Linked DNA regions of Arabidopsis thaliana. The protein of the gene in region 1 purifies or fractionates together with the protein of each later gene. This does not show direct contact. Each region holds a gene or a part of one and is shown in the gene's direction. Other genes may lie near its edges. The genes, in order: NOXY38 and PKR2.

Region 1 (4,843 bases):
AGCTGCACAAAAAGCCACAAAGGAGGCTGCTGAGAAAGCGAAGATCCAAGCAGATAATGTTGGACATAAACTCTTGTCAAAAATGGGTTGGAAAGAAGGTGCTTACTTGCATCACTCTATCTGTAAATTGGTGCCCTTGTTTCTTTCTGTATCTTGTGCCTTTATGGAGACAAAGAGCTTAGAAAATTGGAGGAGTGGATTACAGGTGAAGGTATAGGAAGCTCCAGAAAGGGTATGGCAGACCCTATAATGGCAGGCGATGTAAAGACAAACAACTTGGGAGTTGGTGCTTCCGCTCCAGGAGAAGTCAAGCCTGAGGATGATATATACGAGCAGTACAAGAAGCGGATGATGCTGGGTTACAAACACAGACCCAATCCACTGGTATTTTATCCATCTTTAGCTCCATTCTTTTTGTGATAGCACTTCTTTTACTCACCATCTGTCTCAATTGTACTACAGGGAAATCCCAGGAAGGCGTATTACTAAGGATCAAATCAATGTGTTATGCGCAATTATTATCTTTGGTTCACCTCAGCACCGTCTGAGCTTTGCTTTTCTATTATAAAGAATGTTCAAGCTTTTAGATTACTGATATATTGAAGTGTTGGTATGCATTGAATTTGCGTTTCAGTGTGCAAATAGATCTCTTTGACAGACATATCAGTTGAAATACAATGGATTTGTTATTGCTAATGACTGAGATTTTGATTCGATTGTCATAACTTTATTAATGTTTTGGAAGTCTGGGACATAATACACTAAGCAGCAAGGTTATTAAAGAGAAAGGTAAATGAAAAAAGAAAAGAAAAGAAAGATGATATGTCCTTCCTAGTTGATGATATCGCAGGGAGGGAAATTAGCAGAGCATCTCTGAGGGAGCTGAAGAGCCATGGAGCGGTCAATGCCAGAGAGTGGAGGTCCATTGGCAAGGAGGCAAAGACAAGGACGACCAAGTGTGACAACGGCAGAGCAACATATCTCGGTCGGTGGGATCGGGCTAAAAGGAGCAACTGCTGCTCTACATGGTATGAGCTGTACCAGCGCGGAGAAAAATGTCCTGCTGCATCCTCCCACTTCCTCCTCGGGCAACATTGGTGGTGGAGGTGGTTGTTGCAGGCCCTCTTGCTGCGCTGCAACAATGGTAAGAACGGTTATGGTCATGAGCAGCGTCATTGCCAACCCAACTCTCATAGCTTTCATCATCATGTAAACAGCGATGGTAATGAGATGACGCAACAACGAGATGCTGCTGGTTTATATACCATACCATATAATGAAAGGGGTAACAATGTCATGCCGTTTCACACCTCTCTCCTACCTCACAACCAAATAGCCTCACGATTACTCCGTGTGTGTGTCTCCACTGTCCAGAGCTTTAATCTTCGATCAAACTCACAAAAATTATAACATATCACCGGTTCCTCCTAGCTACAAATATTAAACCCATAATAATAATATTGTGGTCAGTGATTATTCTCACCTACTGTGGGTATCTAAAAACTTGCTTAAAATTCTGATGATTTGCAATAAATTTCGCATCTTTCCCGCTTTAAAAAAGCCCAAACAAAGCCCATTAGAAACCCAAAAAGGAGGGATTGGTTTGTTATTCTCTGTATCTCTCTCCTAGTATTCAGCTCTAACACATAGAGAGGAGTCAGAATATCATCAGCCGCCTCTTTCACTTCAACCCTCCTTAAACCTCATCTCTTTCCTACTCCGCCGCTCTCTCCGTCGTCTCTCCCGTTACTCCATTTCTCTCGACCCCTCCAGGTAATTCCTTTTCAGATCCTCTACTAGACCCTTTACTTATTTTAGTGAATTGGTCTTTCTCCATTTCCATCTATCCCTTACGTATCTGTGACTTTTTCCCCCCTTTTGGATTGTATTCCTCATCTTCCTCTGTTTCCGTCAAATGAATGATCTTTCTGAAATTCAATCACTTTTGTATCGTTTCTGAATCTTTCCTCTAATAGGTGAAAATGGCTGGGAAGTCGAACAAATCGAAGGCCAAGAGAGCGGCTCAGAGCACTACCACCAATTCCACTACTGATGTTAAATCCGATGCTCCTGCTCCTCCTGTTGCTGCTACTGTTCCTGCTACTGCTCCGGTTACTGCTGCTGCTGCTCCGGTTGCTACTGCTGCTGCTCCGGTTACTGCTCCCGATAATGGCACCCTCACTGCTGTTGACTCTGCGGTGCCTGAAGCCAATGAAGTTGCTCCTACGATTCCTAAGGCTGACGAAAGTGAGTCACAAGTTGAAAATAACGATGCCCAACCCAAGCAAGGTTAGCTCTAATGCTTTTATTAGTAAATCACCCAATTTTTTAGTATATCTCAATTTGAAGTGTCAGTGTGGTTTTCTCGTAAGCTAAGTAGATTCATCCACACCCTCTTGTGTATTGCTTTTAAGTGTCTAATTTTTCTGCTTTCACAGGTGAACTCCGTCTTTATCCTGTGTCTGTCAAAACACAAAGTGGGGGTAAAATGGAGCTTCAAGTGAGTTTTTTTTTTTTTTTTTTTTTTTTTTTGCTTTCTCGCTTATATACTATTGGCTAGTCTTAGAAAATCAAATAGTGTTTTAGTTTCGTCAGGGATTTAATACCTGTAGATATTTCTTGTAAAGCATTACCTTTTCCTACTGGTTTCTCTTATATATATTGGTGTAAATTACTAAATCTGTCCAATGTTTGTGTTTTCAGTTGAACCCTGGAGACTCTGTGATGGATATAAGGCAGTTCCTCCTTGATGCTCCAGAGACGTGCTACTTCACTTGTTATGAGTTGTTACTCCGCAATAAAGATGGAGAGACTCATCATTTGGAAGACTACAATGAGATCTCTGAAGTAGCTGACATCACCATTGGTGGTTGCTCCTTGGAAATGGTTGCAGGTAGCTAAGTCTGTCTTTTCTTCATTTTTTTGGGTTGAGACTAAAAACAGAAAGTTGACTTGTTATGTTTCTTCCCACAGCATTGTATGATGATAGATCTATCAGAGCGCATGTTCACCGTGCCAGAGATCTTTTGTCTCTTTCAACACTTCACTCTTCTCTATCAACAACACTTGCCTTGCAGTATGACGCAGCACTGAACAAAGTTCAGAACCCTGGAGGTTTCAAATTTGAATCATTCTCTTAATATTGTTTTGCTTTGCTAATATTTTCATGCACTGCGAAGGATTTATTTATGGCCTCTATATTGAAACAGATAAACCAAAGTCTGACGTTCCAGAGCTGGAATGTTTGGGTTTTATGGAAGATGTGCCTGGCTCTCTCAAGAAGTTAATAAATTCTACATCAGAAGAGATCAGATCTGTGGAAAACATTGTGTTCTCATCGTTCAACCCTCCTCCAAGCCACAGAAGGTATTGAGCAACTTATTTTAGCATTTGTAAAGGCATAAATTTACCATTTATGTTGTTTCTTATGAATATATTTGTTGCAGGCTTGTAGGAGATCTAATATATTTAGATGTTGTGACCTTGGAAGGTAACAAGTACTGCATAACAGGCACAACCAAAACATTTTATGTTAATTCCAGCTCAGGGAATATTCTCGATCCAAGACCAAGTAAATCTGGATTTGAAGCAGCTACGCTGATTGGACTATTACAAAAGCTTAGCTCTAAGTTTAAAAAAGGTGGGAAACAGCTTATACACCATTCTTCTTAAGTCTATTCTTTACTCTTTTTATGACGTGATAATCATTCAATCTGTTGATTAGCTTCTATTTTTCCTTTTATTTGAAGCTTTCCGTGAAGTCATGGAAAAGAAAGCCTCTGCTCATCCGTTTGAAAATGTTCAATCGCTTTTGCCACCACACTCATGGCTAAGAACTTATCCAGTACCCGGTGAGTTTAATTTTAGTAGCATTTGAATTGTCATCCATCTTGCACAGACGTACTTGTTTATTATAGTATACTTGCGTTCTGCACAGTAGTATGGTTTAGTACCTTAACTCTCTCCTTTCGTGGCTATCTCAACTGTTCTTTCAGAGGTCTTTACTCTGTGTTATTCAGTTTTATGCACTGATAATGGTTCTGAGATATTCATATGGCAGCCATAGAAGTAGTGTGGTTGAAGGAGTCCTTGTTTTTAATTGCAGAATATGCAATATATCCTTGAAGTCCCTCTCTAGTGCATTCTCTTTGTGACTGCCTTTTAATGGCCAAGTCATATCTTGCACAATCTCGAATAATATTTTATTTTATTTTTTATTATTTATTTATTTATTTATTTATTTTTTTATCTCGAATAATATTCATTTTGATGTTTTTAGTCTTAACAAAATTTTGTAAATTAATTCTCTTAATAGAATGTGGTCCATTTCGTTGCGTGTTTATTGACTATGTACTAATTTTCTGTTTTATATATTGAACGTGTGCTTTGTAGCTACACTTGAATTAGTTTTTCTATTAAATCTAAGCACGGAATGTTGTATCTGGACTCAGATCACAAGCGTGATGCAGCGAGAGCAGAAGAAGCACTTACCATTTCCTATGGTAGTGAGTTAATTGGCATGCAGAGAGATTGGAACGAAGAGTTGCAATCTTGCAGAGAGTTCCCTCACACTTCTCCTCAAGAGAGGTACAAGCGATACCTAACTACAATGATTTCTCGGTAGCATGAAATTTTGAGATTCTGTTCCATTTCAGATTTGTTTCCTTAATTGAAAATTTCCTTCGTTGCAGGATATTACGAGACAGGGCACTTTACAAAGTGTCTTCTGATTTTGTCGATGCAGCACTTAACGGAGCTATTGGAGTAATCAGCCGGTGTATACCACCCATAAACCCAACTGATCCAGAGTGTTTGCACATGTCAGTGTGAATTGTTTGGCCCT
Region 2 (7,795 bases), on another chromosome or scaffold:
TTATTTTAGGATGGCTCTACAAAAAAAATACAATAAACATCTAAAATAACTTGTATCAATTAAAAATAAATATATGCAAATTTCATGCTGCACAGTGGACATCCAGTGGAAGTATTCGAGAATGATTTAACTGTGTTGTGTTGTTTGGTCAGATCGCTGCTAATTGCTATTCTCAAGTCTCAACCTTCTTTTACTGGTACGCACTCAAAGCCCATTATCACCGAAAACATTTCGGTGGATATTTTAATAATTCTCTAATTGATAAGCGTGATTTTATGTCAACTTACAAGGCTTTTCAAAGCCCAAAAAGGGCCACAGGCCCAAGCATAAAGAGAAACATTCACACCATATCTATTTTAAAGATTAATAAAAATGAACAAAACTGATTTTAATTGTAAAATAACAAAAATTTGCTTTCATTGAGAGTTGAACTCAAGACCTCCCGCTTACTAAACGGGTGCTCTAACCAACTGAGCTATGAAAGCTTTTGCTGTTACAATTAATTAAAATCTATATAATACTTTGTAACAAAACTTTTTTTAAGTGTTAGTTAATTTAAAAAGCGTTAATCAATTGAAATGTGGACCTCTTAAAAAAACTAACAAATACAAAAATGCACCATTTGTCCATAGAGTATTGGAAACTAAGTAAACCATCTTCATACTATTGGTCACAACCAAATCCCTTTCCAATTTGTAACGGACGACTAATTTTGGTTTTGTGGTCAAGACTCAAGATAATGCTAATTTTTAAACAAAATTACAGTGCATGAATCTAATCTTTATTTCCTTCTTCTTTTATAACCTTTTTCATACTTACCATTTGCATGCCTCTCTTTAATATTTGTTTTATTCTATAGAAACAAATCACATTATATTGCATTGAATAGATTTTTATTTAAGTTTCATTTATTTGTTTTCAGACACATATCTTTAGATACTAAAGATATAACTAAATATTTAAATCTTATTTCTGGTCAACCCATTCAGACAAAGAATCTTAAATAAAAAAAACTTTAAATTAATTTCTTCCCTAAATATGATATATATTTTTTAATTATGTTACATAAATGTATATATACAATATAAATTTATAGTTTTTTTTTGGTAAGCATATAAATTTATAGTTTGACCAGTGTCAAGGAAACTTAATAAATCAAACAACTTTTTATACTAATAAAATAAAATAACTTTTTGTTTTAATGATATTTAAATATTTAATTATTCAATATATGGTTATTTTGATAATTTTATTTTAAATCATCATCGAATTTCTTGTTGAAATTTCAAAATTGCCGCGTAATCTTAACGGTTTTAGGTACAATTTCATTCACAAAAACCACTAGGACTCACTTCTAAAAATTTCTCACAGCCACAACTACATCTGCATCCCCTTCTGGTTACAAATTAATTCACCTTTACATTGAAATTGACAAAAAAAGGTAGTGTTATCTCCATAAAACAAAATTAAAAGGAAATAAAGAATAATGACCACTCCCTCTCTATATATATAAACAGACGTTTATCATATCCTTAAGAATCACCCCTCTTGCGTTTTAGCTCCCTTGCATTTTCTTCATCTTGTACGCTCCTCCTTGGTCTTAGATTTTCTGAGATATTTCTCTTTTCACTCTTTCTTGTTACGATTTTATCTAAAAATTTAATGAATCATATTTACTGACCAAACACATTGTTGTGGTTTTTTCATGCAGAGAAATGGCTAATCTGTTGCAAAGGCTTCGTAGACGAACCGGGCCAAAGCCAGATTATATTGAAGACAAGTTGGATGAATACATTCGTGAAGAACAAGTTGAAGAAACAGGCGGAAGTAACCAGGTATGTCTTTGTCTTGTTGTGAAATTATAGATCTGCAGTGACTTTTAATTATTTGATCCATTTCAGGATTGTCCTCTTGGCGAGATTGAAAAGATTTTGGACCGTGAATGGCGTCCTACTGCATCTAACAATCCGAATTCTTCTGACAACGGGACACCAACCCTAGTTGTCGTGAAACAATATCTTGTGAAGTGGAAGGGGTTATCGTACTTGCACTGCTCTTGGTAAATTCCCAGCAATATGCGATATCGTGTTGTATTTAATTAAACATGTCGATTATTATGTTTTTGTTGCTTCTCTTGTCTGGTTATCTTATCATCACTTGATTATTAATGTCAATTCTTAGGGTGCCCGAGCAGGAGTTCGAGAAGGCTTACAAGTCCCATCCTCATTTAAAACTAAAATTAAGGGTGACCAGGTTTAACGCTGCTATGGACGTATTCATCGCTGAGAACGGAGCTCATGAGTTTATCGCCATTCGTCCTGAATGGAAAACTGTTGACCGGATTATTGCTTGCCGGTTAAGTGATTCAAGTCTTGTCCTTTGTTTTTATGTCCTTAACTTGATAGACCTCGTTGTGACAATTATGTTTTTTTTTTTTTTTTTTTCCTTTGTGATTATTTATTCATGCGTTTATATTTCTTTCTCTATCTTCTGTGTAGAAAAGTGTGACACTTAATGGATTTCGTTTTGACAATTATGGTTTTTTTGTTTGTGATATGATGTAGGGAAGGAGATGATGGGGAGGAGTATCTGGTGAAGTACAAAGAACTTTCTTACAGAAATAGTTACTGGGAATCTGAATCTGACATCTCAGATTTCCAGAATGAAATCCAAAGGTTTAAGGATATAAACTCTAGCTCTCGTAGAGATAAATATGTCGAAAATGAGAGAAATCGAGAGGAATTCAAACAGTTTGATCTTACTCCTGAATTTCTTACAGGTATTTTATTAGACTACTTGAACAATTTGTATACAGTTTCTGTATAATGTTATTGATTTACTTACCTTATATGTTTTTAAGGCACATTGCATACATACCAGCTCGAAGGGCTGAATTTCCTAAGGTATTCATGGTCCAAGAAAACCAATGTAATCCTTGCGGATGAAATGGGACTAGGTACGTCTTCAAAAATCCATTTCTTTTTTGGGGTTATTCATAGGCTTTGCTTTTATCATTTGTGTAAAATAAGATTGGTTTTGTGGTTGCTGCAGGCAAAACTATTCAGAGCATTGCCTTCTTGGCCTCTTTGTTCGAGGAAAACTTATCTCCTCATCTAGTTGTTGCTCCTCTCTCAACCATCCGTAACTGGGAGAGGGAATTTGCCACCTGGGCACCACATATGAATGTGGTATGTATCATGTTTCGTATATATATGTCACATATACGGTATTAGTTATTTATTAATGTTTTCATCGTATGATATATGCAGGTTATGTACACTGGGGATTCGGAAGCACGTGATGTTATATGGGAACATGAGTTCTACTTCTCTGAAGGGCGTAAAAGTAAGTTTGATGTCTTGCTCACGACGTATGAGATGGTTCACCCAGGGATATCAGTTCTGAGTCCAATCAAGTGGACGTGCATGGTATTTCTGTATTAATTATCTGAATGATACTATATACTTTGTATGTCTTTCTTTTAGATCTCATATTTTGCTTAGAATATCATTCTCTTGGTTAGATTATTGATGAAGGCCATCGGTTGAAAAATCAGAAGTCAAAGCTGTACTCTTCATTGAGTCAGTTTACAAGTAAGCATATCGTTCTGTTGACCGGAACACCACTTCAGGTTCGTCGTTAGTCGATTTTTGGTTCTTCGACTTTCCCAAGGTTCATTCAATCCTACATTAAAGTTTACCTAATTAGTTATGATCTCTGAAATAGTACTATAATTATTATGGTATCAATTCTTTTGTATCACTAATACTTATTTGGTGTTTTTTCAGAACAACTTGAATGAACTTTTCGCTCTGATGCATTTTCTTGATGCGGACAAGGTTAGCCAAAAGATAACGCATATAAAATAAGTTTAGTTTATTCTCTAAAATAGTCATTATAAGCATACAAGCTTGCTTTAATTATTTTATTTTCCATGCTTGCAGTTTGGGAGTTTGGAGAAGTTTCAAGATATAAATAAAGAGGAGCAGATTTCAAGACTCCACCAAATGTTGGCTCCGCATCTGCTCAGAAGTATTAACCAACAAATCTTATTAAGAACATTTCGTTTGAAGTCTCGCACCAAGGGATAACTATAACCATGGTGATTAATCTTGCTTTTATTGTTATTGCAGGGTTAAAGAAAGACGTGCTCAAGGATAAGGTGCCCCCAAAGAAGGAGCTCATTTTGCGTGTTGATATGAGCAGCCAGCAAAAAGAAGTGTACAAAGCTGTTATTACCAATAATTATCAAGTCTTGACAAAGAAACGAGATGCTAAAGTAAGTTTTGTGGATCTCTTGTGCTTATGCAGATGTATATATATTGTCTTGGTTTAGGAACCTTTTAGACTGTACTTGGTAGGATAATTCGGCTGGTTAAACTGTTTCAGATATCTAACGTGCTAATGAAATTACGCCAAGTTTGCTCTCATCCGTATCTGTTACCAGACTTTGAGCCAAGATTTGAAGACGCAAATGAAGCTTTTACGTAACATTTGATCACTAATCTTGACGTATTGATTCCTTTTTAGTATTTTGTGCTGACTTTTGCTTGACCTTTTCTGAATTGTTCTAAAGAAAACTATTGGAAGCTTCCGGAAAGTTGCAACTGTTAGACAAAATGATGGTCAAACTCAAAGAGCAGGGGCACAGAGTGCTAATCTATACCCAATTCCAACACACCCTTTACCTTTTGGAAGACTACTTCACTTTCAAGGTAACCTAATCTGCTATATCTGTTTGTCGACCTATTGATTTGTTCAGTTGGTGTTGTCGCTCTGCAAATGACTTGCGATATAATCTTTTCCTTCCACTTAAAAGTTACTTTTTAATATATCTTGAGACGCAAGGAACAGTAACTTTCTTTTTATAATTTGCTTATATGCAATTAAGGAAAAACTATTGTATGATATTGAGCCGTAACAAATTTATTTTTATTTTGTCAGAATTGGAATTATGAACGGATTGATGGAAAGATCAGTGGACCTGAGAGGCAAGTAAGAATAGATCGGTTTAATGCAGAAAACTCGAACCGGTTCTGTTTTTTGCTCAGTACAAGAGCTGGTGGAATAGGGATAAACCTTGCAACAGCTGATACAGTCATCATTTATGACAGGTTTGAGTTCCAATATCTGTTTAATGAAATGATAAAGTGCTTGTTGGAAGTTTCTTTCCAGAATAACAGAGTGTTTGGATCTTCTAAGTTAATAGCGGAAAGATATTGTAGAGGCATTTAAGATGGTTGTGATGAATTTATTGACATGATTTTTTCACTGGTGTTGTAGTGATTGGAATCCTCATGCTGATCTCCAGGCTATGGCTAGAGTTCATCGGCTTGGCCAAACAAATAAGGTTCTCTTTTCATGGCGTCAATGTGGAATCATCCACTTGCTATTTCATTCTTTTTCTAGCTATGTCACTGATTAAGCCTATATTTTCTTATTTAGGTAATGATCTACAGACTGATTCACAAAGGTACTGTAGAAGAACGGATGATGGAGATAACCAAGAACAAGATGCTTCTAGAGCATCTCGTCGTGGGAAAACAACATCTTTGTCAGGTATATATATATATATGTATTCCTTGTTCGATTTGTTATTGATTCTTATTGCTACAAGGTTTAATTAATTACTGTTTTCTATCCCTGACTGTAATTAGGACGAGTTAGATGACATCATCAAATATGGTTCCAAGGAACTTTTCTCTGAAGAGAATGATGAAGCAGGGAGGTCTGGAAAAATCCATTACGATGATGCTGCTATCGAACAGTAATATATTCTTCTTTCTTTCTTTGTTTTTACTTTCCTAGTGATTTTACTTTAATAGTTCAAAGCCACCATACAATTGCATGGAATGTTCATGATTTGTAGCCACACCTTTTCTTCTGCAGGTTGCTAGATCGTAATCATGTAGATGCTGTGGAGGTCTCACTGGATGATGAGGAGGAAACTGATTTTTTAAAGAATTTCAAGGTTTACTTCTTTCTCTTTCTCTTTCTAGATGAGTGGTTATTGATCAGATGATCCAATATTTGTTAAGGTCCAGAGAATTGTTTAGAGAGTAATAATTCAATGGATATGCTACAAGAATCATCATGTGCATGTGCATGCATATATATACACCCTTTTTTCCTGCAATATTAAGTTATACACATATATTTAGTGGCATTAATTCCAAATATAATTTCTCTTTTTGATGTTATTTCCTGTATATTAGGTGGCTAGTTTTGAGTATGTAGATGATGAAAATGAGGCTGCAGCATTAGAGGAGGCACAAGCTATAGAAAACAATTCTTCAGTAAGAAATGCTGATAGAACAAGTCACTGGAAAGATTTGCTGAAAGACAAATATGAAGTGCAACAAGCTGAGGAGCTCAGTGCTCTTGGAAAGAGGAAGAGAAACGGCAAGCAGGTACGTATACTCTTCTTGATCCCACCTCTCCAGAATCGTTTTATGTCCTTTAGCACAAGTGTTCTTATTCCTGCTTTTGTTAATATTACTAGGTGATGTATGCTGAAGATGATCTTGATGGTTTAGAAGAAATCTCTGATGAGGAGGACGAATATTGTCTTGATGATTTAAAAGTGACCTCTGATGAGGAGGAGGAAGCAGATGAACCCGAAGCAGCTCGACAGAGAAAGCCGAGGACGGTTACAAGGCCTTACAGAAAAAGGGCTCGCGGTACTATACTTTTCCAAATATTGCATTGAAGATGACATCTTGTTGGTTTCAGAGGTTTACAAGTTAAGTAACTTTGAAAATCTATTTTGCTGTAAGATAATTCGGAGGAAATACCTTTGATGGAAGGCGAAGGGAGATATCTCATGGTGCTGGGATTTAACGAGACTGAGAGGGATATATTTTTACGTACGTTTAAGAGGTATATCTTCTTTCTAATAATGTTGTCTAAATTGTGGTTTGGCGTCTCTCAAAGCATCATAGTATATCATAAGTGTCTCAAAACAACTTTTGTAGGTATGGAGCTGGAAACTTTGATTGGAAGGAGTTTGTTAATCCCTTATACATGAAGACCTATGACGAGATAAATAAGTATTGACGACTTAAAGCCATTTATGCTCTTATTTTCAGCTGCTTTACAAAAACCAACAGTTGTTCATTGACACTTGTTAAATTTGTTGTTTCTCAGGTATGGAATCTTATTTTTGAAACACATTGCCGAAAACCCTACCGATAATTCTACAAATTTTAAAGGTAATTTATCACTTTATTGATTATATGTTTGTTGGTATTCTTAGATATATCCAATTGCTTATTTCTGTTATCATATTTTTAAGTTATTACGGCAATGGTCTATGCAGATGGAGTTCCCAAAGAAGGGATAAGCAGTGACGAGCTACTAGTGAGCATGACTTTTATGATGCTAGTAAAGGAGAAGGTAAGCCTACCATTTTCCAGTGTCTATGGAATTTAAACAGTTACTTATTAGCACTAGTAACCGAACCAAAACTTGAGAAGATTCATTGCATTCTTTCTTAAAGTTTTTGCATGTGGTTTATATATCTGAAAGTTTCTCGTTTGATAAAATTTGGTTTGGTCCTCTCTTGTTTGTTTGAGCTCACTTCTCAATGTTTGATGTGACAGTGTCAATTTTTGGACAACCATCCGACAGCACCTGTTTTCTCTAACTACGTCATCAGTAAGTACAATTTGAGAAATGGAGCATTTTCTAAGGAAGAACATGATAGGATACTGATTCCTGCTGTTTCCAAGTAAGAACCCTTCAACGATTATCCTTACTTGATTTTGTTTCTCTTTGTTTGTTTGCTCACATGCAT

Evidence for each region.
Region 2: the proteins of NOXY38 (region 1) and PKR2 fractionate together in Arabidopsis thaliana (co-fractionation; one large-scale study listed by BioGRID). This does not show direct contact.

What each region holds. Positions count from the first base shown.
Region 1 is NC_003074.8:19,331,250-19,336,092, forward strand, and holds the start of NOXY38 (tetratricopeptide repeat (TPR)-containing protein), read left to right. Parts: upstream 1-1,578; 5' UTR 1,579-1,773; intron 1,774-1,976; 5' UTR 1,977-1,982; coding exon 1,983-2,289; intron 2,290-2,438; coding exon 2,439-2,500; intron 2,501-2,703; coding exon 2,704-2,893; intron 2,894-2,973; coding exon 2,974-3,114; intron 3,115-3,209; coding exon 3,210-3,366; intron 3,367-3,446; coding exon 3,447-3,640; intron 3,641-3,749; coding exon 3,750-3,851; intron 3,852-4,451; coding exon 4,452-4,587; intron 4,588-4,655; coding exon 4,656-4,820; intron 4,821-4,843. Other genes in the region: AT3G52120 (SWAP (Suppressor-of-White-APricot)/surp domain-containing protein / D111/G-patch domain-containing protein), read left to right, coding at 1-98, 206-384, 463-489; AT3G52130 (Bifunctional inhibitor/lipid-transfer protein/seed storage 2S albumin superfamily protein), read right to left, coding at 762-1,133, 1,271-1,273. UniProt on the Arabidopsis thaliana protein: mRNA-binding protein involved in proper cytoplasmic distribution of mitochondria. Together with REC2, REC3 and FMT/CLU, contributes to the establishment of the cellular volume devoted to the chloroplast compartment.
Region 2 is NC_003075.7:15,429,813-15,437,607, forward strand, and holds the start of PKR2 (chromatin remodeling factor), read left to right. Parts: upstream 1-1,715; coding exon 1,716-1,835; intron 1,836-1,901; coding exon 1,902-2,059; intron 2,060-2,071; coding exon of another isoform or gene 2,072-2,141; intron 2,142-2,181; coding exon 2,182-2,355; intron 2,356-2,564; coding exon 2,565-2,779; intron 2,780-2,860; coding exon 2,861-2,956; intron 2,957-3,051; coding exon 3,052-3,188; intron 3,189-3,269; coding exon 3,270-3,428; intron 3,429-3,523; coding exon 3,524-3,631; intron 3,632-3,788; coding exon 3,789-3,839; intron 3,840-3,944; coding exon 3,945-4,032; intron 4,033-4,133; coding exon 4,134-4,279; intron 4,280-4,389; coding exon 4,390-4,487; intron 4,488-4,576; coding exon 4,577-4,715; intron 4,716-4,944; coding exon 4,945-5,114; intron 5,115-5,283; coding exon 5,284-5,350; intron 5,351-5,445; coding exon 5,446-5,559; intron 5,560-5,657; coding exon 5,658-5,767; intron 5,768-5,889; coding exon 5,890-5,971; intron 5,972-6,215; coding exon 6,216-6,410; and 13 more. UniProt on the Arabidopsis thaliana protein: Chromatin remodeling factor that represses the expression of embryonic trait genes upon and after seed germination and thus enables the developmental switch to post-germinative growth.